Linked DNA regions of Notamacropus eugenii. The protein of the gene in region 3 interacts with the protein of the main gene of each other region in a biochemical or structural test. Links are inferred from orthologs where the notes say so. Each region holds a gene or a part of one and is shown on either strand. Other genes may lie near its edges.

Evidence for each region.
Region 1: the proteins of STX4 (region 3) and SNAP25 form a complex in vitro, tested with the Homo sapiens proteins (3 studies listed by BioGRID). The link is inferred for Notamacropus eugenii from reciprocal best matches to the Homo sapiens genes STX4 and SNAP25.
Region 2: the proteins of STX4 (region 3) and SNAP23 form a complex in vitro, tested with the Homo sapiens proteins (4 studies listed by BioGRID). The link is inferred for Notamacropus eugenii from reciprocal best matches to the Homo sapiens genes STX4 and SNAP23.

What each region holds. Positions count from the first base shown.
Region 1 is NC_092872.1:583,449,737-583,461,047, reverse strand, and holds the start of SNAP25 (synaptosomal-associated protein 25), read right to left. Parts: upstream 5,261-11,311; 5' UTR 4,811-5,260; intron 1-4,810.
Region 2 is NC_092878.1:28,889,964-28,901,213, reverse strand, and holds the start of SNAP23 (synaptosomal-associated protein 23), read right to left. Parts: upstream 5,261-11,250; 5' UTR 5,069-5,260; intron 1-5,068. UniProt on the Homo sapiens protein: Essential component of the high affinity receptor for the general membrane fusion machinery and an important regulator of transport vesicle docking and fusion.
Region 3 is NC_092874.1:377,693,565-377,704,726, forward strand, and holds the start of STX4 (syntaxin-4), read right to left. Parts: upstream 4,733-11,162; 5' UTR 4,497-4,732; intron 399-4,496; 5' UTR 1-398. UniProt on the Homo sapiens protein: Plasma membrane t-SNARE that mediates docking of transport vesicles. Necessary for the translocation of SLC2A4 from intracellular vesicles to the plasma membrane.

The DNA.
Region 1 (11,311 bases), on a different chromosome or scaffold from region 3:
TATTGACCAGCTTTTCCTCTCCCCCCCAATTCAAATACTGTAGAATCTTTATCCTCTTCCACTTGGGCTATAACGGTTTTTTTTGCATTGCCCTAAAAAGAGCAGTGAATGAATAATTTTTTCTTTCATTCAGTTGTCCAGCATGCTTAGATATCTGACCATGTACTCAGGAAACGCACAAAGATTGTAGGTGAGTATTCTGGGTTGTGCTGATTATGTAAGAATTCATGGGAAAGCTGGTGATTTCCCATTAGAGTTCTGCCTTTTTGAAAAGTATGAAATTTGACTATTCACTCTTCTTGATAATGGAAAATTGAACTTACAATCAATATTTGGGATGATCCTCTGTGTGTGTGTGTATGTGTGTGTTGTCTGCTCTGGTGTGACCTTAAATATTGTCTTAGGTGGAAAGTGATTAGTCTGTTTCCTCTCCTTAGATATATCCTTTAATAATACATGTGCTTCAAATTGTAATCAATTTAAATTTAAATCAATTTGTTGTCTTCTATTGCTAGAAAGGAGCAACTTCAATCTGTTCTTAAGTCAGTAATTTTTAGATATCATTATGAATTATGTCTCTTATTGAATCCCTCCCCTGTTCAAAAATCTTCTTTGGCTTCTTATTGCCTACAGGATAAAGTCCAAACTATTTAACGTACCATTCAAAACTTCCCACAATTTCACTACCAACTATGTCAAATGATTCTTCCAACTCCAAAATCCTTACACTCAACCTTTCTAGTCTTATCTTCTCCTGTTTCTCTCCATTGAGAGGCAGTGTGGCATAGTAGAAAGAGCACAAGTCATAGAAGTCAGGAAAAGACATAGGTTTGTATGCCTCAAAAGACAACTAGTTGTGGGAGTATGGGTAAGTCATGTAGCCTCTCAAACCTCATCTATAAATTGAATGATACTAATAACTTTTGTATTTAACTCACATGGTTCTTATGAAGACTAAAGCAGTTAATATATGCAAAATGCTTTGCGAACCCTTAAGTATCATATAAATTATGTTAACTGTTATAAGCCCTCTGATCCAGCTAAACTGGTCTACTTATTATCCCCCAATATGCCATAGACTTTCTTGCCTCTGCATGTCATCTCAATTTGCCCTTCTCCTTTTGTGCCACCTGCCCTGATATAGCATTTTCCCAATTTATTTATTTATTCAAATCACCATCACTATTCAAGTCACAATTAAATTCCTTCTTCATTTGGAAAGTCGTATGTTCTCTGAACTTGTGGAATTGTCAGTTACATTTATTTGTCATTTAATCATATAGTGTCTTTGTAATTTTTTTGGATTAGTGTTTTATCTTTAACTCTTCCCTTCATCATTTAATTTTAGATGATATATTCCTGGAGGGCAGGAATCATATTTTATATCACTTTATATTTCCCACAGTGCCTAGCAGAGTGCTCTGTAAATAGTTGTTTTTCTACAAATATTGATTAAGTAAAATCAGATCTAGTGGGTAGAAGGGTAATAAAACAAGCTTACCCATGATTAAAGCTGAAAAACATTTCCTTACCTCTATGGAATTGAAAATAGTTTTCCATAACTTGAAAAGTAAGATGTTTCTTCAACCTGTATAATCTAAACAATAAATTTAACTCTTTCTTCTTTCTTTATTATTCTGCTGCTTCTAATCATCACACTTATTTGAAGTTACCTCTCATTTTTTTTTAATATTACAAAACCCTGTGTTTGAGGTGGAGAAACTAAACCAGTAGGGACCTCCAACTCTAGACTGAAAGTAATCAACATTCAAGGCCATTCCAATGGGACCACAAATTTCCATAAATCTACTGTTCTTATTATAAAAAAATATCGATTTTTTTGTTTAAATAAAATAAAAATAATAACTTACATTCCTTAGAGCAATTTGGATTTGGGGGTTCAATTAAATTTGTATTTTTTGAGTCAAACTTTAAGACATTAATGTAGACAATCTTAATGAGCCTATAAGCAGGTCCCATAAGAAGAACTATATAATCTTTCCTATCCTTGTCCTTGAACATATCTGCATGTGTTTCTCCTGACCTGACTGTCCAGGCTTCAAAATTTGTTATTTTTAGAAATGCTTTTCCTAAAGTCTCTGACCAAGTAAATGTTAAATTCATCATCAAGTCATTAAAAAATTACCCAGGAGGATATTATGCAATTCTCTCTAAAATCAAACACTTGACTCCTTTTCCCTAGCCTTTTACACTGCTCCCCCCCACTAGCTTCACTGCAGATTCCCCTCCCCCTCACTCCTCCACTAGCAGGGAACAAAAACAGCAGTAATTGCTAATGCCCAAGCACGTAAATCTGGCAGCTCTGGTGGTTTTCTTTTGACGCAACTACGCAGAGGGCTGTCTGGACGTGCGGCAGGGTAGCATTCCTATGAAGTCGAGGCATATTTTAAAAGACTCCTGCCCATCTTTTCTCCTAACCTTCCCGCACCACAAACATGGTTGTTTATTTGCCTAAAGGCTGCAAGGTTACTTTTTAAATAGTTACATGTTTTTGGACAAAATAATAACCAAATAGTTTTATACCCATGCACATATGGCACGCACACACACACACATGCGCACACATACACACACACACACACACACACACACACACACACAACTAAAAGGAAAAGACCCCGGGAAAAAGGCTAAGTGTTTGCTCCCATTTTAGCAAACATGATATAGAAGCTATCACACTGTTATGGTTGTCTGGTAAACATGTTTTAAAATCTTATTTTAATAATTCAGAGGGTACTAAGGTGGCATTTCTGTTCATGCATCATATATATATGCTTTTGGGTACATTTCTGTGTTTTCACTGTTATTTGTCAAAATCACTAAATTTAGCTTTCGATCACTTTATATCAGAAATCTGTGATAACTTTTCTGAATGATTCTAAATGGTTAAATAATTTCATCCAGTGAGTTGTTTGGTCATCATTACGATCTCAGCAGAATTCTGCAATGCCATAACAAACTGCAGCAGATTTTTAGGACAGCATCCAGGTTCAGTAGAACCACTATGATTTTCCTACTGAAGTCGTAATGAAGACCCATTGGGATCCTGTGTCCTGTCATAAATCAACTGTCTATTCTGTCAAAACTAGAAGCGCATTGTTTGATAAGCTAAAGTAGGAGTTAACACATTCTTTTGGAAATGCTTATGGTTGCTTTGTGATCTGAATACAAAGTTAAAGGAATGAATTCCATACACTGTCAGTAACCTGAAACATTTTAGGAATATATTTTAAAGTATATGTGTGTGTGTGTGTATGTGTGTGTGTGTGTGTGAGAGAGAGAGAGAGAGAGAGAGAGAGAGAGAGAGAGAGAGAGAGAGAGAGTGAGAGAGTGAGTGAGTGAGAGAGAGAGAGAGAGAGAGAGAGGGAGGTAGTGGTTCATCTCTAAGAAGAAGAGGGAATCCAAGGGGGGATTCAATATTAAAGTTAATTGTACTTTGTTTACCTATGATATAGTTTAATTAATATCTCTTCCCTTTTTCTTTTCTCTCTCTCCCTCCATATACACACATACATGTGTGTTTATATATGTGTACATATGTATGTGTACATATATACACATTATATACACACATATACAAGTGGATACATGTATGTTTAGGCTCATAATCTCTTAAAACAGGAGACAAATGACAGCAGATCCCTAGGAACACATATTTTCGAGAGTCGCTCAACAACAACCTCCACACACCAATACACGATAGATCTGCCCACCTTCTAGCTAAGTCCCTGTTTAAAAGAGCTTGTTACTTGGGAAAAATTATTTTCACAAGTAAATCCTTAATAAAACAAAAAAGGATAGATATTCTGGTGAATGGGGAGAACTGTCAAATAACAAGTAGCTACTGTTGGAAGGATTTTATCCACTATGATTCTTTTTAAGGATATTTTAAAGGTTATTTGAGAGACCTGCAGTTTTTTCTAGGGCCCGTATTCCAGTCAAGGACTTAAGTGTGCCCCTATCTCAAACGAGACACACTCATTCTGCACCAGGTAGAAGCAGCCGCAACTCAGCAGTTTGGGTTACTGTCCCTGGTGCTGAAAGGTCGACTGCATCAGACGCAGTCTCTCAGCGTCACTCTCCATGGTCCTGGGCCATGGGTGCTCCGCAGAACCAGTAGAAAAACCATTCCGGCCGTCCCAGGAGCAAAAAATCTACTCAGAACGACCCCAAATCCACACCAGGCTGCAGTTTATACGTAAAGCAGACAGCATAAATCAAACTCCTCGGGCATGGAGATTGCTGTTGCTGCAGTAACTGCTTCTTCTTCGTCTGGGTGGGAACTCTTCTCACCCTCCTCTTTCCCTTCTTTCCCCAGTCCTCACCTTACACCCTACCCTCCTCCTTAATAATCAATGGGAGAAGAAAGCATCGTCTTCATATAATCAAGTAATCACAACATTCTTATAATGATGATTGTTTCTGTAAAGAAAATTAGCAACATCTGAACAGCAAAATGACAGAAAAGGAATAAAGAGTGCCCGTCCCAATAACAATTTTAAAAGGATAAGTCTCTTCTGGATATTCTTTCTCACCTGGGTATATCTGCAGTTCCCTCTTTCTCACCCCCTCCCCGACTTCTCCATCATTCTGTTCAGCAAGAAGCTACTTTAGAAGTCAATACGTGTATATAGAGAGTATATAGAAATACTTATATAATGCCTCAACCTGTATACATAAACACTTGTATTCGCACAAACCCATTTTGTATACACAGCAACACATTCATCCGTATCCCTTCTGTTTGTGTAGGCAGAGAGATCCATGGATGAGGAAAAGGGTAGCTTACCTTGACTTCTGTAGAGAGGGCTTCAAGGGACAGTGTTCTCGGAGCCTAGGCAGGTTTCGAGTTTATAGGCGATTTCTGAAGAGGCTGCTGCTGCCGCTGCAGGGAGGGAAGGACGGAACGGTTTGCTCCTGACCTCCCCGAGGTTTCTTCTTGAATGCAATGGGAGCTCTGCCCTCATCAAAGATGGCCGTCCTTTTTGACGTCAGCAGCTTTTAATAGACATCTCATCAAGGGGAGGAGAGAAGGAGGAAGTGAGCTGAGGGAGGGAGAAAAGGAGGGGGAGGAGCTGGGAGATGGTGATAGCTTGACTCAGCTGCTACTGCACCTTGCTGCAATCCTTTGTAATTTTCATCTCTGAGAAATAAGTGAATAACTGAACGAAGATGGTTCTCGTAATTCAATTATACCAGCCTGATGGCGTGGAATAACGGGCCTGTCCGGGCAGTTTTTGTCTCGTTATCTTCCTCCCCCCCAACCCCCCAGTTGAAGCTGTGGTTGAGTCACAGAGGGGGGAGGGTGCGAGGAGGGAGGATAATGCAGCAGAGATTTGTTTTCGCCAAAGGGGAGGGTCTGAAGGGGCATCCCTCTGAAGTCTCTCTTGCTCCATATATGGCCAGTCTACGTGGGCTGCTATTTTTATATGTGACTTCTTTCTCTTTATTAGAGCAGCCCCTTAGATATGGGAATTGCATTAATATGATTTAGTTCGTTCAGAAAATACAATTATTTTTACAATACGTCAGAGGAACCATAATAAGGAAGCAAATGAGTTTATTTTGGAAGTTGGAGACGTGGGTATGGTTGCTTTTAGAATTTATGCTAGTCTTATTGATTACCAGTGATGGAACCTTGTTGCATAGTTGAAACTGAAGTTTGGTATGGGAGCTAGAAAGAAATACCCCGTCTGTGATTTAAATGTTCTTTTTCCCCCTTTTTTGCCACTCCTTCATAACCACACACACACCCCTTTACTCCCTCCCCTCATATATCGTGTCCCCCACTCCCAAAGAAGAAGCGAGAATGTTTTGGCTTGTTGCTTTCGTAAGCCAGCTTCTGATTTACTCTATATTTCTGTATGTATGTGGCTTATAGAACAATCCAGACTTCCGGGGGAAGGCGGTGGGGTAAGGAGGTGCTTAGGGGGATTGGACGTGACAAAATCCTAGTGGTTCATTCATTTCTCAAACAAGATACTTTGGTTGTCTTTTGTGACTGGTAAAGGGCACTTGTTTTAGACTAAGAAAGTGTTAATCCATCTACTTTCTTACTTGTGAGAAAACAAACACAGAATGACTGTCTAGTTGTGCCAAAGCAGCCCACAGCTGGCTGTAGGTTATGTAAATCGGCTTGGGGTGGGAGCATCTTATGACTGTTTCGCAGGTGTTTTGGAAGGTTAGCCCGGGTTTTCCGAGGAGGATGGTGAGTAGGTGGGAGGTGGGGGAAGTGGGGAGGGGCAAGGCGGGGCGGTGGAGCGACGTCTCAAATCCAGCACTGCAGAGTACTCCTAGGGGAAGGACGTGATCTGAAATTCTACCTTGAAGTCTTGAAACTTCACGACTCCCTCCCCAGAGGAGAAAAAGAAAAGATTCCCCTGTAGCTCAGGAGAATCCCTTCAGAGCTTATGGTCCTAGGAGAATTCTCCACCCATCTTGCTCTCTAAGGGTAAAATCAAAACAATATTTTTCTTCCTGATTACAGTCTCCAAAGAGAGGGGGAGAGAGAGGCCCTGGAAAAAAAGAAAATAAAGAAAATGAATTGAGAAGGAGGTCTGCTCCAGAAGAATTTAATCTAAGCTGTTTCTAATGGAGATACCTGGAATTTGTACCCCTTAAACTTTGTTAGTAGTATCACAGGACCAAATGGTAGGTTTGGAAAATCTGATATTACAATACTCAGTAATCATCAATGTTGTGTTTAATATATTGGACGGGTTGTTGACTTTAGAATACATGATTTTTGCATATTCGTGCCCAAATAAAACATTTTAAATCCTTGAAAGGTTATAATAAAAATCTATAATAGCTATAAGTGCTCAATTACCAACAGAACACTGTTGTTTTTTGTTATTCATTGCAAAACAGTTCAGAATATTTAAGGGATGACACACAAACACTGCAAGATGCTTTATGCAGAGACTTAGGCTTCCTTTTGCCAAAGTGTCACTAAGAAAAAAAAAGGCAGCATACAAGCTTTGAAGGAAGCTCTGCAGTGACGAAAAAAATTATTTTCTGAGTGAGACGGTCTGAATGGAAGACATTCAGTCAGAAAGGCTTGTGAAGGAATAGAGGAGGTGGGGGATTTTCCAGGGTGAAAAAACAGAATAGGTAATGCGTCATAGATAGAGGCTCATTCTGCAAGCAAAAATTGTGCAAGATTTGCCTTGAAAGAGCAGACGTTAAAGCTTAATATTTAGATGCTGATGCACTCCAGTGACATCTTTGGGGGAAAAAAAACAAGCCAGAATAGAATGTAAAATTGATCACAGCATCTTTTATTAACTATTTTATCAAGTGACCAACATGATGCCAACATGAGGCATCCTGACCCAGGAAAGATAGCACAGTCTAAACAGTCTAAACTGAGAAACATAAATTGTCAGCCAGTTAGACCACATATCTAGTCTTTAGACAAAGACTGCTTCTCTTAAGTTTTAATGTGCAATTGATAGCTTATGGTATAGTATCTACTTGTGAAAATTATGGTCAATTAACAAGCAGATGGCCTTCCATCCTAGCCAACGCTAAATAAAAACAATGCTTTGGCAATAAATAACCATAGTCAAGTAAAACATAGTCTTACATTGGCCATGTCCAAAAATATGTCTCACTCTGTAAGTCAAGTCTTTCACATCTCTGTCAAGGCTGAGCAGGGTCACCAGTCCTCTGAAATCACAATCATGACATCAATCAGGGTTCTTAAGTCTTTCAAATTGTTCAGTTTTACAGTGTTGTTGCTCTAGTGTAAGTTATTGTGATGATTCTGCACAGTTAACACCGCATCTATTTACAGTGATGTTTGTGAAACCCATTCCCCTGATTTCTTCCTTGTTGGTATGGATTTTTACCTGTGACCCAGATTATGTCAGATAAACCCTACTCCAGGCCTCCTATTTTCTTCTGTAGTGTTTCCGTTAGCCCTCCCTTTCCTTATACCTTTTATGGGAATCAAAACTACAAAAATTACTTGGAGACCCTACGTCTTATTTGATTCCCTCTATGACATTGCAGTTCTTAGGAGATACAGATATTATTCCAACATTTCTTCCCTATAAAGTACCCACCCCGATTTGCTCCCTTGTGTTTACTTTATGTTTTTCTTTAATCCTGTATTTGTATTTTAGAAGTTTCTATTCAGCTTCAGTCTTTTCTTTAGGAATGCTTGAAAGGCCTCTTTTATTAAATGTCTATTTTTCCCCTTTAGGATTCCACTCAGTTTTTCTGCATAATTTATTTTTAATTTCAAGCTTAGATCTTTTGCCTTTTTGAACATCATATTGCATGCTCTTTGTGCCCTTTGAGTTGTTGTGGTTCAGTTGTATCTGACTCTTCATGACCCCATGGACTTGTCCATGAGGTTTTCTTGGCAAAGATACTGCAATAGTTTGCCTTTTCTTTCTCTAGTGTGTCCCATGTTATAGATAAAGAATTGAGGCCAATACAGGTTAAGTGACTTGCCCAGGGTCACACAGCTCGTAAGTGTCAGATGTCACATTTGAACTCAGGTATTCATGACTTCAGGCCAGGTACTCTATCCACTATGCTACCTAGAGACCCCTTTTGAGCAAATGCTAAGTATTATGTGATCTTGACTATCACATGTGGTTTCTTGGTCCTTAAACTCTTTCTGGAAGCTTTCAATATTATTTCTTTGATCAGAGAGCTCTGGATTTTGGCAGTGACATTCCTAGGAATTTTAATTTGGGGGTTACTTTCAGGAAGTTGCCACACATTCTTTGTATTTTCACTTTTGCCTCTCATTCTAAGAGATTTATGAAGTCTCCTCCATTATAGACTGTGTGCTCCTTGAAAGTGAAGAATGTTTTTTAATGTTCTTTTATCCCAAGTGCTTAGCACCATGCCTTGCACACAGTAATTACCTAATAAGTGCCTGTTGTTTAGCTGACTATATCTTTTTGTTTGTTTGTTTAGTTGTTCATCAGGTGATCTGCTCTGGGCTACACAGCCATATTCCATTTCCCAAGTCCAGTCTGCTGGCCTGGGCTGCTGTCCTCCAGGCCTACTTCATATCTCTTGACTCTGAATTTAGACTCTTGATCCCTCTGGGGGACCACTTACTGTTAGGTATGTCTCAGAACTGAATCCATGATCATCTCTGGTCATCCCCACACTACTTACTTAGTTCAGAGTTCTGGGCATTGAGTCCATGCTCTTGCCCATAGCTGCTGACTTGCACTAGTGACTAAGTCTAAGATTGCTCTAGGCTGACCTAGGTTGAAGCTCTAGGTGTCCCATTGCATTACTGGAGAAGGGGGATGGCTAAGTGTGTGATCAACTCTTGGTATACCTGGCCTGCATTAGCCTGGAGAACAAAAACCCTAAATTTGTGATACCAGACCTCCTCGGTTCCATAGTTCCCATCCTTGTTACTTGCCTGTAGGTTGAATTTGTAGTCTTGGGTTGGAAAGATGATTGTACTTTCTCCTTCAGTTTCCAATTTGCTTCTTCACCCAGCATCCTTCTTAGATTGTTGTTGGAAAACTGAGCTGTATTCTTTTCCTTTTTCTCTGCCTACCATGTTGGCTGGTCTCTTTTGTATCTTCTTATAGTCTGAGTTTAAAACATAACCATAATCTTTGCCAACTGGAAAAAATGACATTTATTATACTCAAGGTGAATATATAATGAAATGATGTAGGTCTAATCTGACAAAAAAGCGAGTGAGGATGAAAGAAAATGTGCATCAAAACCATTTAGCTACATAATAATTTTTACAAAGATCCAACAAGTTGAGTAACATCTACGTTGTTGTTCAGTGGTGTCCAACTCTCTGGGACCCCATTTGAGGTTTTCTCAGCAAAGATACTGGAGTGGTTTTACATTGCCTTCTCCAGCTCATTTTATAGATGAGGAAAATTAGGCAAAGAGCGTTAAGCGGCTTGCCCAGGATCACACAGCTAATATCTAAGATTGGATTTAAACTTAGGTTTTCCTGACTCCAGGCTCAGCACTTTATCAACTGAGCCACCTAAGTGCCCAACATGAATAGTGAGAAAATTTCTTGCTTTGCTGGGTGGTTATTTACATTATGTAAATTCAGTGTCTACGGTTTTTCTGGTTATCAATAGCATCAGATCAGAAGTATCTATGAATTTAGCTTGTATTCTGTTCCCTGAAGGGATACAATCCATGTATGTGCAAGCTATTATAATATAATAGGTAACACTGTTTTGTGAAAATTGTCTGTTAGGCATTTCAAAAATTAAATTGAAGCGATTTTGATCTTATACTAGAATATCATATCTTACTTTACCCCTTAATAGTCATTCCCTTAGGGGCAACAGTGGGATTCTGTGTCAACACTTGTAGGTATAAAAGGATACCTAAGTAGGGTAAGGGCGTAGAGGAGGAGATAGGTCTTTGCATTTGTTTAAATATAGTCTTTGGCTGTTTCTGCTTGCGGAGAATGTTTCCACTAGGTAGGCTGACTAATAGTTCAACAAATTAGTTAGTTGATTGTGAATTGAAAGTTTTTTGAAGTGATTCTTTGACAATAGATAGCCAACCATCAAAGTCATCTAATTAGAGAAAATTTGTGTTGTCACAAACCTGCTTTCTTTCCATTTCTTCTATGACAGACAGAAAATTATTGAGGAAAAGGTACTGTGGATGTGAGAACATAGTATATCAGAGGGGCATAATACACCAGAGGGAGATGAAGTAACCAAGCAGAGAACTAGGCTAAGGAATCACCCTATGGTTTTGAGCAAATCACACAAATTGCCTGATTGTATTTAAATATTCAGTGTCTGAGTTATTCAAGTCTGACTGTGGCAGTCATATCAATCAGCCATAATTCATCTTTATGGCAGCATGGACAATTCACCTAGGGCTATAACAACCTTACTTCCAAAGAGATTCTGGCTGGTTTATTTAATTAACAGGTATAGCTGAAATAGTTCTAAAAGATTTAGATGCGAGGAACTGAAACAAAACCTGTTTCTCATTTTCTGCATCTGTATAATAGTTGCAAGAACTTTAATTTCTTCTCTGGCATTATCATTGTAAACGTGAAGCTAAGAGATATGATCCTCTTGTCTCTTGATGAGAAGAAGTAAATTATGCGTGGGGGATATTAGAAAACAATTGAATACATTACATATTCCTACATTCTGAATGGTTTCCTAGTGGTAAAAAATTTGATACAATGAGCATTTTTTTTAACAAACAGCAAATATGATTTATGAAGATGTCAAGCACATGTGTGTTTATGTATGTGATTTGTGTTTATTTGTGTGTATGTACATGTGGGCTCTTGAACAGT
Region 2 (11,250 bases), on a different chromosome or scaffold from region 3:
AACCACAAATACTCTCAAAGTCTCCCTAATATGACCAAAGGGGGGTACAGCACAGGGAAGACACAAACTGACGATTTCAATATTCAACAAAGTGCTATAAAATTTATCCTAACAATACTAAAAATTGTGGTGTCCTTGGATTAGAAAGTAGTGTTTGGGGAAGAATATTTTTCATTTTGAGATTTATTAGGGAGCAAATACTTTCCTCCAAATACTTTTCTAAGCCAACACAACAAAAATTTTTTAAAACAAAAACTACACAGAATTTTCAGCAGGATAAAAGTTTGTCAAAAAAAAATCAATCCAAGTTAAAATTATCTAGTTCAGCTCCTGAAAGACTAGGAATTTCTGTACTAATCTTTCAGTAGTGACAGTGCAACTTGAATCTACAAAGTGAGAAAGTAAAAGGCTGAAAGTGAATGGAAAAGATGATAAACTTTTTCCCTCAGACATAGAGTACCTTTTCTCCTCATCCCCCGCCCCCCCCCAAAATAAAAAACAAAAACCACTGCACAAAGAATAAATAAGGAATTGTGGCTTGTGACTACTACAGGCATGCTTCCTCAAACAAGAATCTACTTCTAGTTTTCAAAATTAGCTGATTTAACTATTCCAAACTCAAAATACATGAGGCCAGCCCCTTCTACTCAACTCTTCTCAAAATTTACAGCTGAAGCAGAATATGATTCAATAACCTTACATATAAATAAATTCTGCACTTAGAAAAACTTGGACTGACTTCAGATCTCTTATCTGCCAGTAATATAAGAAAAATATACAATCACTTACAGCTAGTATTTTATCTTTTGCAACACATTTTCCTCACAATAAACCTGGAAAGTAGATGAAAATAATATTTGCAGTATTTTACAGATCAGAAGACTAAGTTTCAAAAAAGACTTGACCAAGATCACATAACTGGAAAATATTTTCTACAGAAAAAAAAATGTTTCATAAGTTTAACAACCAAAAACATTTTTTTAAATCTTGTTTCTGCAGAAAATATTTATTTAATCATTTACCCAAAACATAGAAAACAGATATAGATGATTTTGCTAAACAGAACACTAGGTTTTTAGAGCAATTAGTAAGCAAGTACTCCCTTTTTTTCTTACTAAAGCTTGTTACATATTTGCATATATGTCCTATCCTTTAAGTAAAGGATTTTACTATATTTATGATTGTCTAAGAAGAAAATTTAAGTTCTATCCAGTGCGTACCTCAGTCTTTGATGCATTTAACAAAATACTATCTCCAAGAAGATCTTTGAAAGATGGCATTCTAAAGCAAAAAATCATCTACTGAAAAAGTAAAATAAAGCCAAATCCTAAATTATTGGCATGGTTTGGAAATCAGAGAGTTGCTAAATTACATAACTTTGTCCAAACAAAGTACTTTGAGGAAGTATTTTCTGTCAATCAATCGAACAAGTATTTATTAAGCACCTTCTATATGCCAGAGATGGACAAAACTGAAATAGTCTCTGCAGTCAAGGAACTGACATTCTACTAGACGGAAACAATACCTACACAGTTAAACAAACATGAAATACATACAAAGTAAATGCAAAATAAATTTTTATTTTAAGGGAGGGAGGGATGGAAAGTAGATATCAGGAAGGACCTCATTCAGGACATGGCACCTGAGCTGAGACGTAAGTGAGGGCCTAGGGGTTCCAAGAGACAGAGGTAAAGAAGACAAACAAGACAAGCACAGGACACAGCTTGTGCCAAGGAGACAGAAAGTCAGGCATGAGGAACAAGGAGGCTACTCCAGCTCTAATGCAGAGCACAGGAGGGGAAATCATGAACTTCACCAACCTTCTGGGCACACTGAGTTTGAGAAGCCTCGGGACACGGAGGTGGAGATGTCCAGCAGTTAGCTGGAGAAGAGACCTGAAGTCATGTGATTGAAAGGGAATATGTAGGAGTTAATGAGATCACAAAGGGAAAGAGTGTAGAGTAAGGAAAAAAGGAGGTCCAGCAGCAAGTTCTAGAAGACACGCACATAGAGTGGGCAGACCACAGATGATGATTCATCAGGGATGACTGGGAAAGAGCAGTCAGACTTCTAGAAAAGAGACAAGAAACAGCAGTGTCAGGAAGATTCCTGGTCATAACGTCCCAGGCATCAGAGTATTCAGGGAAAAAGAGGTAATCAAAATCCTCAAATGCTACAGATAGGTGAAGAATAAAACTAAGAAAAGTAAGTGGATTTAACAGTACAGAATTCCTCAACTTGACATCTCCTCTCTCCGTGCATTTAGCCAGGTCATTTTCTATTCCTAGTATACAAGCCTTCCTCACCTCCACTTTTTAGAATTTTCTTGCTTACAGGTACAATTCAGGTATAGCCTTCCTTGTTCTTCTGGCTTAAAAGTAGTTTTCTATTCCTCCTCCAGTAATGCTAGAGTATTTTGCCTGCATCTTTCTTTGCCCTCAATAATTCTCTACCTTGAACTATATTTATCTGCATTTATGTCATATCCTATTCCCCTCAGAATGTAAACTTCTTGAGGGCAGGAACAGTGTCATTTTCATCTCTGTATTTCTGTGTTTTGCACAAAGCAGATGCTTGATAAATGCTGTTGAAGTGTCAATATTTTTTTAAATCAACTTTATGATGAAAACTTTTTGGAAACTATTTTATACAAGTTACAGCCTTCTTAAGCAAAGGACATGAAAAATAATTTAATCTTTATGATTCAGGATTAAATTATAAATTATTATATTCTACAATAATAAATACTGATGTCCTCAGTACCACTGAAGTATATAGGGCTATTTAACCCTATACTAAATGGCCCCATATACTATTACATGCCTTATCTTGCATGTTCCAGTATACTTTTCCTTCCAATACTATCCCTTAGGTATGAACTCCACCTTTCCCCCTCTAATTTACTATGACCTGGGAAACCAAATAGCAATCCATTAAAACTGTGCTGAACAGAATAGCTACTTCTGTTGATGTTTGGTCCTTAAGGGAGTCAATTTGAGCACATGGGATCTGTCACATCATTTTGGCTGCCCAGGCCTTTTTTTTCTTCTTGGTTAAATAGGAGGGGTGTTATTGTTCTTAAGGTAACTGAAATGAAAGAAACAAGAACATTAATATGCTGTAACAGTAGTTATCTACAAAAAGCGGAAAGTCCCACAAATGTTTATGTAAAGCTGCATACCAGGGTCAGGGAAGAAGAAGTGGTACAATATTATCAGGAAGTAAAATAACAAAAGTCACTTTGAATCCAAAAGTACACTGACAAGAATGACAATCATAGGAACCAGCAAGTGACCACATGTCGCAAACTGCTTAAAGAGAACTACTAGAGCTGATAGATGCATACGCTACAGGGCTGTAATTTATGATTACTTTAATTATGTTCTGGTGCTTGGAAAAGGGGCAACTACATTTGTCCTAATATTTGCTGCTTTTTTATATAAAATAAGGATTATAAAGCATATGTAATCCCATATGCTTTGACAGTACTTAATGATGAAGAATATTTCATAAACACTGTACACCTTAGGCAAATTTTTGGCTTAGGTAGTGACAGGACTAGAGAAAATTTTAAATTAATATATTAGGTCATAAAATATAATTGCAATACTAAGACTTCCCAGGAAACTATGGATAATGATACCCAGATTTAAAATTCATTAGGCATTTTCTAGTATGGACCAGAATGGTACATCCTATTTTTACTCCTAGTGTGACAGTAACCACGTCATACTGGATGGGCCTCACCATAGAGGCTAAAGATCAGTTTTAGATACACAGAATGATGTCTCTGTTAATACTTGCAATACCTTATTTCTAAAAAGCTCAAAGTGCATTCATCACATGGCTCCCCACTGCTCAGTAACTACATCCTTCCCCTCCCCCAGTCATTAATTACATCTTGATGAGATGAGGGGCAGAGGGAAAACGACTACTTCTCTATGGACCAACTTGTGTTTTCTTCCAACTTTCTCTAAGAACCACCCTTCCCTTTCCAACTTGTCTATTTAAAAGTTACAGTAACTAATGGCCTTGAAGGGAAGGACCAAGGAGCAAGAAGAGGGAAGGGAAGCTTTAAACATCCTCATCCCACCCCCCATCCCTGAATTTAGGAAGCTATCTCCCACTCTTCTCTCTTTGTAAGATGGCATCAAAGCTATCAGTCTTCTAAGGAGCATTCTCGGGTTTCTCTGGACTCTCTCTTAATCTGAACAAGTGTGGTTCTTAATATCGATATATACTATTGCCTATGAGTGTATCTTCACACTGTTTGTGTATACACACACATACCTACATATACACACACTTAAGAAGGGGGCACACTACTACTGCCCATGAGTGTATCTTCACACTGTGTGTACACACATACACATACCTACATATACACACACTTAACTACATATACACACATACACTCACTGCCTGTGAGTGTATCTTCACACTGTGTGTGTATACACACACATACCCATACACACACACTTAAGAAGGGGGCACACTACTACTGCCCATGAGTGTATCTTCACACTGTGTGTGTATACACACACATACCCATACACACACACTTAAGAAGGGGGCACACTACTACTGCCCATGAGTGTATCTTCACACTGTGTGTGTATACACACACATACCCATACACACACACTTACACACGCTCGCTGCCCAGGAGCGCATCCTTGCACTACAAGGTGGGCACACACATATCCCATCCCCATGCCCACCACACACACACCCCCTTTCCTGCTTCCCTTACCCACTAGAGGGGTTCCCACCGTCACACCCTCCTCCCAGGCCAGGCACAGACGAGGACGGACAGACGCTCCCCGCCCCCGCTACTTCCCTGCCCTCCCCCTCCCCCCCGTGTCTTCCCCTCCCCCCGTATCCTCCCCCTCCCCCCGTGTCTTTCTTCCCCCTCCCCCTCCGCGCCGGCGCCTCTCCCCCTTCATTTTTCTTCGCTCAGCCGCCTCTCCACCATTTTTTTGGAAGTCACGCGCAGCTCCTCCTCGCCCAGAACCTCGCCCGGCAGCTGCCCCGGTCCCGGCCCGGCCCCGGGGCCCTCACAACTCACCCTGAGACTTCGCAGTCCTTCCCCTACCAATCCTCCACAACCCGGACTTGGCCAAAGATAAGAACCAGGGCTGGGTCTCTCTGACGCATGCGTACTCAGAAATCCCCACATTCCCCTACCCTGGCCCCAGCAGGCGCCTGCGCATTTCGCCCAATACGGCCCAGAACACGCCCCTGGAGCTACAAGCCAATCAGCGTACAGGAGAGGGAGGTTTAACCCTTCTTGCTTCGCAGTTGGCCAATTAGTTCTGGGTTGTTTTGGAAGAGGTGGGATTCCCATGCTACTGTAGCTCTGTTTCTTTTTTCCCCAGCGTTTGGTGAAACCAGATGTAGGTGCAACTGAGATCTAAAAAACCACAAATCTAGGTTTGGTAACAATTCGACAAGTATTTAATTAGCGAGCCAGACATTGTGCTGAAGAGATTGAAGATAAAACAAAAACAACCCAGTCCCTGAAGTGAAGGAAATTATGTTGCAACTTGTATACAGAATTGTAAAGTGAGGTGACCTTGAGCTAGGTGACCTCTGAGGACTCTTCTAGCTGCGAATCAATGCTCTTAGGATTCTAAGTAAACACATTACGTATTTTACAATATGATAAATAATGTTGTCATATATATGCTGTGATACAGCATAATATATAACAAGTGATCCGATTAATAATGTAATATGCAAAGCAATTTCCACAATTTCCCACCCCACCCTGCTACATATTTATCACTTCATGCTTGGACTATTGTTTTCTGGTTATCTCCCTGCCTCTAGTCTCTTTGGTGTTACTCCTTACCAAGACTAACCTCTCCACTTGTTCAAGTGATCCCATTCCATCCTATCTCCTTCAACAGACTGCCCCCTTTCTCATCCTCACTCTCTCACTTATTTTCAATTTCATCTTTACTGGCTCTTTGCCTAGAAACATGCCCACGTGTCCCTCACCCAGAAAAATAAACAAAACAAAACTCTCACCTGGGGAATAGTATACATACCCAGTGGGGTATAAAAAATCTATCTTATCCTACAGAGTAGTAGAAGGGAAGGAGATAAGACAAGAAGAGGGGGTGCTGATAGAAGGGAGATTGGATTGAGGGAGGCAGTGGTCAGAAGTAAAACACTTGAGGGTGGGTAAAGTGAAAGGAGAGAGAGAGAGGGTAAATGGGGGAAACGAATAGAAGGAAATACATAGTAATCATAACAGTAAAAAAATTTTTAGAGCAATTTTCTCTGATAAAGAACTCATTTCTCAAATACATAGAGAACTAAGTCAAGTTTATAAGAATACAAAGCATTCCCCAAATGATAAATGGCCAAAGGATATGAACAGGCAGTTTTCAGAGGAAGAAAACAAAGCTATTGGTATTCATATAAAAAAAATGCTCTAAATCACTATTGATTAGAAAAATGTAAATTAAAACAAATCTAAACTAATATGACAGAAAAGGAAAATGACACATTAGATGGGGATGTGGGAAAATTGGGACACTAAATAGCTCTGTTGGTGGAGTTGTGAACTGATCCAACCATTCTGGAGAGTAATTTGGAACTAGGAACAAAGGACTATGAAACAGCATACCTTTGACTCAGCAATACCATTATTAGGTCTGTTTCCCAAAGATATTTTTAAAAAAAATTGCAGTATTTATCTGTTGTTTTTTTTTTTTAAATCAACTTTTATTCTCCTCCTGGCTGTGATTCTAACTTAATAGACTTAAAAACCATGGCCTGACTAAAATCTCACCTTGAATCCTTTCTCAGCAACTGAGGCTTCCTCACCCTAGAATATCCCTCTACCATACCAGTATCTTTCTAATATGTAGCTCCTCCTGCTTCCTCCATTTTGGGGAAGGGCCTAGATCAACTAACCTTCAGTTCCCTCCCAGATGTGCTTCCTAATTTCTAAACTGATTGTGTGTGTGTGTGTGTGCGCGCGTGCACACGCACATAAAAAATATATATGTAATTTTTTGACTAGGTTGAAAAAGCTGTTCTTTTCTTCATTTCTTACCCAGCTTTAATCATTGAATGGACATTGCCTCAGTAAAACTGAGACCTGGGAAAGACTTTAGCTCAAAAAGGCAATTTTTTTGGTGACTTTGCACAGCCCTCTCTCACTTAAATCCAATTCACTTGCAAGTCATGACATCACCTTCCTTAGGTGTGTCTTCTTCAAGAACCAAGGGCAAACAATGAACAAAAATCCTGCCTCTCACAGGAAGCCTTCCCTAAACCCCCTCTTTAATTCCAATGCTTTCCCTCCATCGATTTCTTCCTATTTATCTGTTCATAGCTTGCTTTGTATATATTTGTTTGCATGTCTCCTACATTATATTGTAAGCTCCTTTAGAGTAGTCACTGTCTTTTGCTGCTTTTTGCATCCCCAGAATTTAGCACAGTGCCTGGAACATAGTAGGTGCTTAATAAATGTTTATTGAATTAAATTGGCTCTAATCCATCCTCCACTGAAATGTCAAAGTGATTTTCCTAATGAAGTGCAAGTCTGACCATTTCAAACACAACACCCACTCAAAATAAGCAAATAAACTCCAGTGACTCTCCATTACCTCAAAATATAAAATTTCATGTTTTCCTTTAAGAGGCCTTCATAATATGATCTCTTTCTCCCTTTGTAATGTTCTTACACTTTCCCTTTCATATACTATATGATCCAGCAATACTGACCACTGTTCATCAAACAGGACTCTCCATCTCTGGATTGTGCCTTTTCAGTAGCTGACTTCCCTATCTTTGTAATATTCTCCCTTCTTATCTTCTCCTACTTTCCTTCAAATCTCAGCTCAAATTTCACCCACTGAAGAGGTCTTTCTAGGTGGGCCTTTTGCCTACATACACACTTCCCTCTGAGATTATTTTCCAATCATTCTCTGTGTGTATATGTATATATAATCTATTTATTTTATCTTTTATGTAGTTGTTTTAATGTTATTTCCCCATTAGATGGTCAGCTCCTTGAAGGCAGGTACCAGTATTTGCCTTTCTTTGTATCCCCAGATCTTAACACAGTGCTTCAGAAATGCTTGTTGACTGATTTGCCACAGGAACACTAAGGAGAAAAATCTTATCATTTCAAAATTATAAATATGAATACAATTGCTTTAATATTTGAGAATACACTGTGGGCTAGATGCTGTGTTTATATATTTACACTTTATATCCTATAGGATGGGATCTACATTTTAAGTCACATATACATGTAAGTTAATTGTAGGATTCTTTTCCTACAGGTGACCTTTTAGAAATTTTTAAAAATCTTTTTTAGTTTTTTCTTTACTTTGAGAATAGTCTGAGAATTAAAATTTTCTTATTAGAATCAAATATATAAATATATTTGTAACCTAAGGGCAAAGTAATAGTGACTAAAAATAGAAACTACAACCATCCCTGAGAAAGAGAACTCATTAAATTTTAACATTATTTAATTTGGCAAGCGTCTTGATGCCTACAAAGCAAGGCCACCCTTGAAACTAGAAAATCCTAGATTCAGATCCTGCTTCTTGACACATACTAGTCTCGGGCAAGTAACTCAGCCTCTAAATTACTGCCCAGGGACTTCTCTAAGACTATAAATTGCTTCATTTCCTAATTCACCGTTCACCAGGTCCAACCAGTTTTTGAACCAAAACCCCCTCAACAACATACTTAAGATGTGGTCATCCAGACTTTGTTTGTGTGCCTCAATGTGAGCCAATGATATAACCCTTTCACCTTTTGGTGAAATATCTAATTATTAGGAAATTTTTCCTCATTTCAAGTCTAAATTTGACTCTTTGCAATTCACCTATTGCCTCTAGTTCTTCCCTGTGGCATCAAGTGGAACAAATATAATCTCTCTTCTATATAACAGCCTTCTAGATATCCTTGAAATGAATAACTATCAGGTCATTTCTAAATGTTATCTTCTTCTGACTAATAGTTTCCCAGACCTTTCATACACTGGAGGCTCTTCTCCATACTTATGGCCTCATATTAATTTATCTTTCCTAAAATATGGTGCCCAATTTCAAATGCTGTCTGACCAAGACAGAGTACAATGGAACTACCATATCCCCAGTCTTGAAGACTAATGCCTCTCAATGAATCCCCTGAGATTACATTGGCCTTCCAAAGCAAGATTTCAAAAAAACACTCTTGTCATCCAAATTTGACTGTATTTTACACTACACCTTAAGCCCTAGGTTTTTGTTAGTTTGTTTTGGGGAAAGAATTTAAGAGGTCATGAAAGATTTCAGAATTTAGCAGAATGATATCCCCTGATAAGGTCCCACAAAAATAGAGAAAAAGATCTCTAGTTTGTACAGAGAAAAGTCATTCTGTGGCCCTCCTGTTTTGATGAGAGTTTAATGTTAAGTTGGGCTCCACATTCTGTAAAACGGACAAAGAAGGTGTTTATCCTCTGACAGTACTCTCTCATTAACTTTTCCCTCCTCAAATTAATCTTGGCACAGCGCCTTGCACATGGAAGGCATGTCCAAAGCAAGGCTCAGTAAAGGATTCAACACTTCCTGAGACCATGTAGTCACTTTTCACCCATACCACCTGCTGCCACTCTGTCTTCCAAAACAGACCTCCAGGAACAGTGCCAGGGAAGAGCTAAGCTACCTATACCTATACTTCCTAGGACCATGCAATCTCTTCCCTCCTCTTCACCTGGCACTTGCCGCTACTGCAGCTCTCTGTCTTCCATACTGCCAATTTCCACTTCTTGTGCAGAGACCCAGAAGCAAATCCACACAATCAAGGTCTATATACTAACCTATAAATTAGCACAGTACCTTACAAACAACAGGAACTTCATGAATATCTATTATATACATATGACCAAGGAGTAAGCCTGGACAAAGTTAAAAAATGAGGCCATTCCTTGAGACTTTGGTTATATTTCCTTGATAGGTTTGATGGCACTCCCATTGGGGGCAAGTATTATTCCTGGCCTAGGTATTTGTTGACCCACAAACACCTCGTTGAGGATGACTGGCCAATTTGGTTAGGTTGTAAATATGAACTGCATACAAGGTTCAAACTCCCTCAGAAGAGAAAGGCATATGAGGCCTATCTAAGTATTACTAGGTGGTACCTATAGTACTACCCTAAGGGTTTGAGGCTTCTCAAGAGGGAATTTTATTGATTACAAAAATGTAAACAAGAACAAGCAGAGCAAAATAAAACAATACCTCTGTCATTAAAGTGGACAAGATCTCCCTTGAAGAAGAAATGAAAATAAAATGCACTTTCCTCCCTTTGCAGAAGTGGGTGACAATGGGCATGGCATATTGTAGATGCTGTCATTTGGCTGATGTATTGGTTAGTTTTGCTCAATGTTGGTCTAATTACTGCACTGGAGGGGGAAAAGATGAGAGCAGAATTATTAGTTCTGTAATCTGAACTTGCATTGTGACAAATGAAGGCAGGGAATAATGGGATAATATGTAAAAAGGGGGAGGTATTTTCATCTTGAGAGTCAACCCTTTTCCCATCAAATTGCCAGTTCACATTTGCAAGGATCAAGGCCCAGATTTACTCCTTGACCTTAAGACTCTGCTTTTATAGTTCCTTCCTTTTAAGTCCCTCCTTTCTTTGAAGTTCCTGACATCAACCTGTGTTCAGTCAGTATATAAGTACTTATTATGCCTATTTATGCACAGGCACTATGCTAAGCATTGGAGATACAAAGAAAGGCAAAAAACAGTCACTATTCTCAAGGTGCTTGATGGGGTGCTTGGGTGCATGTGTTTGGGCCCCAATTCTAAAATCACATTTCTCTTTAAAAATCACACTTCTCCCTAGTCTCAAAACACTATCCCAGGCAGTTTCTCCGCAGCCCAAGGACAAAACCTGCCCCAGCAACAACAGTTATCTCCCTTCCTGATACAGTAGCCAGCTGCACATATAGAATTTATTAGTGTGAACCAGCTGTGTACTGGCTGAACTGGCTGTGCACTGGGTCATAACAACGTTTACCACTCACTGACCAATTATATGTATCCTAGACTTAGACATACGTATACTCCCTTACATTCATCTTATCTAACAAGACATTGATAACAGCAGCCTGGTATTACTTAGCCAGTCCTGACCATTAGTTGACTTAGTGACATTTCAGGTCTGAAACCACACTTACATGTAGCACCCTCCCCCCCAGACGATTTCTTGATGAACTTTGGGTGAAAT
Region 3 (11,162 bases):
TTCATCTTTGTTGAAGGTGTCTAACAACATCGAGGAAAATGTTATGCTAAAAAGCATGGGAGTAAGCACACAGCTCTGTTTCATTCCACTGATGACCGGAAAACTGTGAGAGGATCATCCATTTTCCAGAACCTGTGTAGGAATACCATCGAAACAAGTGTACAATACTAATGAACTTTTCTGGGCAACCAGACTCCAACACGATCTTCCATAACATCTCATGGTTGACAGTATCAAAGGCCTTGGTTGGATTGATGAATGTTATGTATAGATCTCTGTTCTGCTCCTATTTCTTCCAGAGCTGTTGGGCAGCAAACACCGTATCAATTATTCCTCAGCCCTTTCTGAAGCCATACTGGCTCTTGAGTAGATTACCATCCTCCAGAGAAAGGATCAGCCTATGAAGGAGCACACACAAGAATCTTGTTAGCAAGGACTAAGAAAGAGACCCCCTTGTAATTGTCACAGAACAACCTATTTCGTTTTTCTTTTTTTCCTTTGTCTGTCTTTTTAAAAAATTTATTAATTTATTTGTTTTCAGTTTTCTACAATCACTTCCATATATCTTAGATTTTTTCCTCCTTCCTCCCCATCCTTTCCTGCTCCCTCCTCCTCCCTAACCAAGACAGTGTGCAATCTTGTATAGGTTCTATAATACATTGTTGTTAAATACATTTTCACCTTAGTCATGTTGCATAGAAGAATTAAAATGAATGGGAGAAACTATGAAAACAAAACAAAACATAATACAAGAGAAAATGGTCTACTTTATTCTGCAATCCAGTTCTTACTCTGGATGTGGAAGGCATTTTGCCTTGAGTTCACTGGGAGTTTTTTAGGTCCTTGCATTTCTATGAATCAGAAATTCCTTTTTCTTGATAGAGATGGACAATGGAGGCATCTTTGATCTCTTGGGGAATAACATCTTTTTGCCATATGATCCAGAAGATTTTTAGTCAGTTTTTGCATGAACACTAACCCTTTGCCTTGTAGATTTCTGCTGGAATGGAATCAGCACCTGTCACTTTGCCCACACAAGAGGAGCCTAATGGCATTCAACTGCTTTTTCAGTTGGAAGTTTAGCTAAAGAGGTGTTGACTTCAACCTGTGTTATATCACCAATGGCTTCAGCATTGGTGACATTCTGTTGAGAATAGTATGGAAGTGGTCAACTATATTGATAATGCATTTTTGCTTATTGTTAACATAATTTTGTTTCTTAATGGGAAGCTCTTTCCCACCCATTAATGGGCCTGCCCATTAAGGGGAGTTTGATTTGGAAAGATTTGTGGGAAGACCCACATCTTTTGTTTATTTTCTAATGAGACACTGGTTATCAAAGGGTGTGATGCCCTCTGGCTCTAAAAAGTGTATAAAGACTCTGAGGTGAGGTTTTACTTTGGAGTTTAGTCTTGGAAGAAGGTTTTGGTGCCAGACGAGACTTTGGGAAGCCACTAAGCAGCCCCCTAGCTTTGAAAATCCAGATATTGGTGCTTCTCTCTGGTAACCATGTATGCATGTAATAGTCAGACAATTGGATCTGTCTGTTGATCTATGATGTATATATTGCTTATGTCAGATAGTTGGAAGTCACATCTGTTGATTTTCATTTCTCTGTATTTTCTCTGAAGTTTAGGGTTCTGACTTTTTTCCCCTGAACTAATTGAATGATACTTGTGCTTAATTAAAGTCATTGTTGACCCCTCACAAGTTGCCTTTCCTTTTAGAAAAGCAGATCTCAGAACCTGTAATAGCAAGCCCCCCATGTATGTCAAGGTGCTTTCTGCTACATCAACCCATCTCTCCAGGATCATGTCCTTATCACTGATTAGTGTGGCTCCATCAACACTGAGTAGCTGAGATGCATCAAAGATCTTTGATCCATAAATAGCCTTAAGGGCATTGTAGAAGTGCTTTAAATTGTTACTATTAAAATAAAACTGAATCACTTCTGTCTTCTCACTGATCCAAGAATCCTGCATCTCTCTAAGCTTCTTTTGCACTTTGCTCTTGATGAAATTTTAAAACTGCCTTCCTAGAACTGGGAGAACTGTCCTGTTGTTAAACATTGTGGAATTCTCATTTTTTATATAGTAGTTTCTGAATTTCCCCATGATTTTCATCAAACCAATCCTGATGTTTGCAAGTGTTTTGACCCAAAGGAGCAAATGTGATGCTGTTCACCAAAACTCTGAAAGTTGCCCACTCATTTTCTGCTCCATTGTTGCCAACCATGGATAGGGATGAAGACTAAACCCATGATTGCATTGCTGTGGGAAATTCCCTGATGAGGAAACCCCCTCTACCAATTCCAGTAGGCACCTTTAATGTAGTACAGAGTTGACTAGACTACTGGGAGATTAAGTAATTTGCCCAGAGTCATAAAACCAGTATGTGTCACAGGTAAGATTTAAACCCAAGTCCTCCTGGTTGGAAAGACCAGCTCCCTATCCACAAGACCCTGCTATCTCTCTCACACATGTGCACAGATTTAGAGCTAGAAGGAACTCAAAGATCACCTATGCTAACCTTCTTATTTTTCAGTTGAGAAAAAAAATTTTCAAATGGCTTTTTTCAAAGTCACATAGTTAGGAAGTAACTAAACCAGAATTCAAACCCATGTCTTTTGATTGCAGGTATCAACACACATACTAAAAAGAAGGTATATGTGTATTAACCAGACATATACCCATATAAATACATGTATATGTGTGTATCTTATAAATATGTGTATGTATGTATATGCCAGGCAGTGCTTAGGCCAGATGACATTTAGGAAATTGCATAGTCCTGTGAGTATATCCTAAGTGCTCACTGCTTCGAAAGATGATCTCTTTAATACCAATATTCTTGGGGTGGTGCCTTGTGTTTGTGAACCATGGAACACCACAATTTCAGAATCAATATTACAGATGACTTAAAGGGAAAAGGGAAGTGAACTGTAGTATGTTACCAAGAACAATATATGTTATAAAAGACACCAGGGGATGACAACTAAATGCACCCTATCATATCTGCCATCTGTCCCAATGTTTACTCTCATTTTCCTGTTATTAAAATGGAAGCAATAGTAGGACATACCTAGCAGTGAGTCTTCACAGAACTATTTCAAAACATCTGTTGTAATAAAGGTTGATTAGGGGAACCCACAATTATTATTATTAACAGCAACAATAATAGAGAATACTCAGTGTTAATGGAGAAAACCAAGCTGATTTAAACTACTATACATTTATATTACGTAACCTCAACTGGGCATTCACTGCTATTCAGCTTTACCTCTACTGACTCACACAATGTCAATATAAAATCATGTCTTCCCTCCAGATCTCAGTTCCGCCTTCCCCACTTAGCATATGACTGCTAAAGGAGTTGAATCATATCAGTCTTAAAATTCTTGGTATAAAGGAAACAAGAAACAAGAGGAAGTTACATCTAAATGGAAGATAAATCCCAGTACACCTTGAAGAGGCAAAGAAAGGAGTTGCTCTTATAGTATAGCCAATGGTAGCAACATTGTTATTGTTCAGTCATATCTGACTCTTTGTGACCCCACTTGGGGTTTTCTTGTAAAAGATACTGGAATGATTTGACATTTCCTTCTCCAGCTCATTCATAGATGTGGAAACTGAGGCAAATAGGATTAAGTGGCACCTAGTTAAGTATCTAAGGTTAGGTTTGAACCCAGGAAGATGATTATTTCTTCTTTCTAACTTCAGGCTCAACCATCCAGCTGCACCCCCATCCCATCTAAGAAATGCTGTTTCATGGGATATTTGGTCATCTGGTATTACAGTACTGATAAGTGTTTGTAAAAAGACCACCATGAAAATAATTGTAGCTTTTGGACCAATATTGATTGTTGAGGATGAAGAGGTAGGTAGAGAAATTCTATAAAAACATTGATAAGGTCCTCCAAAGTAAAGCAGCATATATTTTGATGCTTAATAACTTCAATAAAAGTGAAAAAAGTGAAGATAAAATGTAAATGAGAAAGCAGATTTTAAGAAAAAGGGATGAGAGAAGTCAAAGACTTGTAAATTTCACAGAACCCTCATGCCTTTATCTCACAAACATTTTCTTCAAGAAAAGACATAGTAAGGTTCTACACATGGTGAGCAACAAATAACATTGCAAAAAATGAAATAGATTTTATGCTAATGGACAGAAAAATGCATTAGTGGTGTAAAATTATCTTGGATCAGTTATTTGTGTACAATCAGATATGTTAAGCAAAGGTCAAAATTATTAAAAAGTAAAGAGAACAATAATGAAAAAGTATGAGTTCCTATTTAAACAACTCAATCCTAGATTATTTAAACAAATAATCAGCAATGAAAATTGGGAAATGGGGATCCAAAATGACATTGATACCAATGAAAATTTCTTTTATACAGAAGACTAATGACTGTGGCTATTTTCACAATAAAAAGACCCAAAGGAGCTTAATTTAGTAAACAATGTTTAATGCTTCATTTAGTAAACATTTTACTTACTTGCCAAGTTGAGAGAGATGGGGGCCAAAGGCAACTTCTTCATTTGCCAAAGGCAAATTAGACTACAAATTTTTTCAAAAGGGGGCAGATCCAAGATGACAGAGTAGAAGGACAGACCTGTAGAAGCTCTCCCCGCATAGCCCATAAAATACCTGTAAAAAATGACCCTAAGCAAATTCTAGAGAAGCAGAAACCACAAAACAACAGAGTGAAAGAGATTTCCAGCCCAAGACAGCCTGGAATGCTAACAGGAAAGATCTATTGCACCAGCTCGGAGTAGAGCACAGCCCAGTCTGGGTCACAAGGCAAGGACAAAACTAGAGCAGGCTCCAGGGTGCAGAATCATGTGTAGCAGCTGCAGTTCCCAGATTTCTCAACTCACAAACGTCAAAGATAGCTTCAAAAGTCAATGAGAAAGCTCTTTCCCCTGTGTGAGAGGGGAGCATGGTCTGGCCCCAGCACTAGCCCCTAGATGGCAGCAGCCACTGTGCAGCAGTGTCCACTTTTGGAGCCCTCAGCCTAAAGACCCTGGGGACACTGAGCTGCTGATCTGAGTCTCAGTTCTGAGTGGCAGTCCTGGGGTGAGGAGGAGCACTGACATGGTGGAGCTGGTGGAGGCTCTGGAGAGGGAATCCTACTCACAGATCCTGGGCAGAAAAGAGTGCTTGTAGTTGCTCACAGACCAGAGAACAGGTTAGGAGAGGAGTAAACTCCTCTTCCTTGATTGTACCATCTTGGAGGCCCTGAGAACTTACAGGTCCCTAGAGTATAACCTCCATTTGACAAAGGACTCAAAAGTCAAGTAACTGGCTGGGAAAATGCCCCAAAGGGAAAAATAATACTATAGAAGGTTACTTTCTTGCTGTAAAGGTATTTTCTTCCTTCCTTTCAGATGAGGAAGAACAAAGCATACCATCCGAGGAAGACCTAAAAGTCAAGGCTTCCAAAACCTCCAAAAAAATATGCAGTGGTCTCAGGCCGTGGAAGAACTAAAAAAGGATTTTGAAAATCAAGTAAGAGAGGTGGAGGAAAAATTGGGAAGAGAAATGAGAGCGATGCAAAAAAGTCATGAAAAGCAAGTCAACAGCTTGCTAAAGGCAACCCAAAAAATGCTGAAGAAATTAACACCTTTAAAAATAGACTAACCCAAATGGCAAAAGAGACCCAAAAAGCCAATGAGGAGAAGAATTGCAGAACTGATTTATTAATTAAATTAATAAAATAATAAATAAAAAATAATAAAAAAATAAATTAAATTAATTAAAAAGCAGAATTGATCAAATGGAAAAGAATGTCCAAATGATTACTGAAGAAAATAATTCCTTCAAAATTAGAATGGAGCAAATGGAAGCTAATGACTTTATGAGAAATCAAGAAATTATAAAACAAAAATAAAAGAATGAAAAAATAGAAGACAATCTGAAATATCTCATTGGAAAAACAATTGACCTGGAAAACAGATCCAGGAGAGATAATTTTAAAATTATTGATTTACCTGAAAACCATGATCAAAAAAAGAGCCTACACATCATCTTTCAAGAAATTACCAAGGAAAACTGTCCTGATATTCTAGAACCACAGGGTGAAATAGAAATGGAAAGAATCCACAGATAACCTCCTGAAAGAGACCTGAAAAGGAAAATTCTTAGGAATATTGTAGCCAAATCCAGAGTTCCCAGGTCAAGGAGAAAATATTACAAGCAGCCAGAAAGAAACAATTCAAGTAATGTGGAAATACAATCAGGATAACACAGGATTTAGCAGCTTCTACACTAAGGATCAAAGGACTTGGGATATGATATTCCAGAGGTCAAAGGAGATAGGATTAAAACCAAGAATCACCTACCCAGCAAAATGGAGTATAATAAATACTTCAGGGGGAAAAATGGAAATTCAATGAAATAGAGGACTTCCAAGCATTCCTGTTAAAAAGACCAGAGCTGAATAAAAAATTTGACTTTCAAATACAAGAATCAAGAGAAGCATGAAAAGTTAAACAGGAAAGAAAAGCCATAAGGAACTCATTAAAGTGGAACTGTTTACATTCCTACATGGAAAGATATTATTTGTAAATCATGAGACCTTTTTAAGTATTAGGGTAGTTAGAGGGAATATACATACATACATACATATATATATATATATATATATATATATATATATATATATATATATATATATATATATATATATATATGTAAGTGGGTATGGGTATGTATGTGTATATTATATATGTGTAGGTATGTATATGTATATGGGTATATGTGTGTATGTGTGTGTATATATACACACACACACACAGAGGGCATAGGGTGAGTTGAATATGAAGGGAGAATACCTAAAAAAATAAAATTTACTGTTGAATAGAATGTACTAGGAGTAAGACAAAGGGAGAGGTAGAATGTAGCAAATCATCTCACATAAAAGGGGGAAGAAAGAGCTTTTACAATGGAAGGGAAGAGGGGGACGATGAAAGGAAATAATTGAGCCTTACTCTCTTGGGATTTGGCTTAAGGAGGGAATAACACACTCAATTGGATATGCAAATCGATTTTACCCTGCAGGAAGGCAAGGAGGAAGGGGATAGGAGAGGGAATATAATAGAAGGGACAGCAAATTGGGGAAAGGGATAATCAAAAGCAAATACTGTTGTGGGAGGACAGGTCAAGGGAGAGAATGGAATAAATGTAGGGCAGGATAGGACAGAGGGAAATGTCTTTTACAACATAACTATTATGAAAGTGCTTTGCATTGTTACACATGTATGACCTATATTGAATTGCTTGTTTTCTCAATGATGGTGGGTAGGTGGGGAGGGAGAGAATATAGCACTCAAAGCTTTAAGAATGAAGGTTAAAAATTGTTTTAGCATGCAACTGGAAATTAAGCTATACAGGCAATGGAGTATAGAAATCTATTTTGCCCTACAGGAAAATAGAGGGGAAGAGGGATGGAAGAAGGGTGGGTAGTAGAAGGGAGGACAGACTGGAGGAAGGGGTGAATGGGGTTCATGCTGTCCTGGGGTAGGGGATGGGGAGAGATGGGGAGAAAATTTTGAACTCAAATTCTTGTGGAAGTGAATGTTAAGAACTGAAAAATAAATAAATTATATAAGGAAAAAAAAAACCTTGGGTGGGAGCTGAAATATGAGCTGAACTTTGAGGGAAGGTGGGGATTCTAAGAGGTAAATAAGGTAAGGAAAGGGTCAATTCCAGACCAGGGAACAGATAGTTTGTACAAAGACTGAAGATATAAGTTTTATATATGAGGAAAAGAAAATGGGACACATTGACTGGATGGTAGAATGTGTGAATGGGAGTACTATTTGCTTGGAAAGTTATGTCAGATCAAGTTTGTGAAGGATTTTCAATGCCAATAAATGGAGGTTGGATTTGGTGGTCCATAGTCTTCTTAAATTTCTGAATCTAGTGTCCTTTCTAGGTTTAGAGGCAGTTTATGTGTCTTTTTTTTCTGGTGTTAGTCAGTCAGCAGGCATTTATTGGGTGCTTAATATTTGCTAGACATTGTTAAGAGCTGGAGATACATGGAAAGCAGAAGAAAAAACACACAACATGGTCTCTATCTTTAAGAAGGCCGCATTTTACTGGGGGGAGAAAACATGTAAATAGTTATGTACATAACAGATTTTTACATTGTAGATGGGAGGTAATCTTGAAATGAAAGGCACTGGCAGTAAGTCAATAAACATGTATTAAGCACCTAAAAAAAGAATTTTTTTCAAAAATTTTACAAAGGATGGTGGACAATTATTAGCAATCTAGCCTTAAAGCAGGGAGAAGTAGTAGAAGGTACAGCTAGTTTAATGAAACTTTTGCAAGAAATCCAGCTCCACAAGGTCATCCAAAAGGTATTTGGAGACTAAAATGAAAGGACAACAAATAGAAGAAAAATACAAATAATCTTTAAAGAATACTATGGCAAACTTTTCACCAGTAAGGGAACCTTAATAGTCCACACTTGGACCCTAACATATTCCAGGATACGCTCATAGGGGAGTTAGACATGCCATTAATAAATACAAAGATAGGAAAAGCAACCTGAGTGGATGGAGTAAGTATATGCAGAGGAGATTTATGCTAAAGAACATGCAGTTGTGGGAGAGCTAGAGTCAATGTGTAAGGTTCTGAGTCAGGAGAACATACCAAAGACATGTTTAAAAGAATCAAATAAGAGGACATCAACAGCTATCTATCTATCTATCTATCTATCTATCTATCTATCTATCTATCTATCTATCTATCTATCTATCTGTCTGTCTTTCTATCTATCTATCTACCTACTTTTCTACCTATACATAATCTTTATTCAATTCACATATATAGAATTCAAGAGAATCCTCAATTTTGTGGGGAACAAGCAGAGTTTCAGAAGTGATATTTCAAAAAGAACATCGTTCCAAAATTGTTTGAAAAATATAAAGAATAGAAGATCTTACTATGTTCTTTGTTGATTATTCAAAGTATTTGAATCAATGGGGCAAAATGCCACCTTAAAGGCTCTTTTCTGATGAGATGCCTCTCTATCTACATTAAATCACTGAAGATTTCTGATAAGATGTAAAAGTAGAAATCATAATCATCATAAAACAGGAAAGACTCTCTTCCCCTTATATATTTGTCACTGTACCGGTGCAGAAAATAAATGGGGATTCTCTGTGGATGGTGAGGTCCTATAGATATTGTTGCTTGGGGATGACATTGTATTGTCATCCTCATAAATAAATGGTGCACTGAAAAGACTGTTGGAAAAGATTTGTAACTGTTCAAAGAGTTTGGCCTGACCATCCAAAAAGACCATTATGAATGTCTCTCAGATTATGACATATGTTTACATGGAAAGTCTATAGAGCTTCTCTATTAGTCTATATAACTGGTATAAACAATATAAATGGATAACAAATTGAAGTAGGAGTTGAACAGAACAGGGAGAATGGGATGAATTGTTTTCAGAAAATTATGGAACTCCTTGAATGATCCCAAGTTTTCTATGGACATAAAGGACTATCTTTTAAATGCCAACTTTCTACTGGTGTTCCTGTATGACAAGATATGAAATAGAACAGTCTCTGAAGAATTGAAATAGATTTGCAAGTTAATCTAACAAACATTTAAAAAACAATCCATTCTAATATTGCACAAATTGTCATTCTATCAAGAATGTAGTATTGGTTCAATATTGTTGTTATTCAGTCATTTATTGGTTGTGTCTGACTCTTTATAATGCCATTTGGGGTCTCTTTGGCAAAAATATTTGAAGTGTTCTGCCATTTCCTTCTCCAGCTCATTTTACATTTGAGAAAACTGAGGTAAACAGGATGAAGTGACTTCTCTAGGGTCACAAAGTCAGTAAGTGTCTGAGGCTGGATTTGAACTCACAAAGATGAGTCTCCCTAACTCCAGGCGTGGTACTCTATCCACTGCACCACCTAGCTGCCCTTGGTTCATTATTAGGAAAACTACAAATATTATAGACCATGTTAGTAATGAAACAATAACATCCACATGAGTATATCAAAGTGTAGTGAGAAACTCTTGGAAAAACCACTATAACACCTATTTATGTTAAAAACATAAAAACAAAAACAGGAATAAACAGACTGTTCCTTAATGTGTTGAATAGTATCTACCTAAAAACAAGTTCTAGCATTATCTGTAATAGAGAAACTCTAGAAGCTTTTTCAATAACATTAGGGGTAAAGTAAGCACGCCCACTGTCACCACTATTATTTGAGATAGTTCTAGAAATAAGAAAACAAAAATAAGTTCAGTTCATAGGCAGAAAGGAAACAAAATTATTGCTTTCTGCAAATAACATGATGGTTTGCTTAAAGAACTTAGTGAGCCAAATAAAAACTAATTGAAACAGTAACCAGTGAAGTAACAGGATATATAAAATAACCTCACAAAAATTGTTAGGCTTTTTATATATTACCAACAAAACCTAGCAGGAGGAGATAGAAAAAGACATTCCATCAAAATAATTAAAGAACATGTAAAATACCTAGGACTCCAGACACTAGAACATATAGGAATTAAATGAATATGACTATAAAATACTTTTTATAGAAATAAAGGCAGACCCAGATAACAAAATATCTACTCAGGTTTGGACTATGCCAAAATACTAAATCATTTTACTTATTTTTTTTATTTCAGTGTAATACCACTTCTAAAGAGTTACTTTATACAGTTAGAAAAATAATAACAAAATATGTCATGAGGAACTAAAGGTAACTTCTGAAGAGAAATAATGAAAAAGAGAGGGAAGAGAAAGAACCTAGCAGTCAGTACCAGATGTACTATAAACTGTAATCATTAAAACTATTTGCTCCTGGTTTGAAAATAGAGAAGTTAATCAGTAAAACAGATTAGGTTCAGAAGACCCAGGAGTAAATAAATCTATTAGCATAGTATTTAGTTAACATAAGTTTTCCAACTACCAGCACAAGAATTTAGCAAAAGCAACTAAAGAAGCTGGAAAACAGTCTGGCAGAAATTAAGTTTAGACCAACTTATCACACTGTGTATCATAATTAGCTCCAAATGGAAATGAGGTTTAATTATAAAAGCTCATGTCTTTAACAAACTAGAAGAGCAAGTAAGGAGATACCCTTTACAACTATGGGTAGGGAACTATTTCTTCATC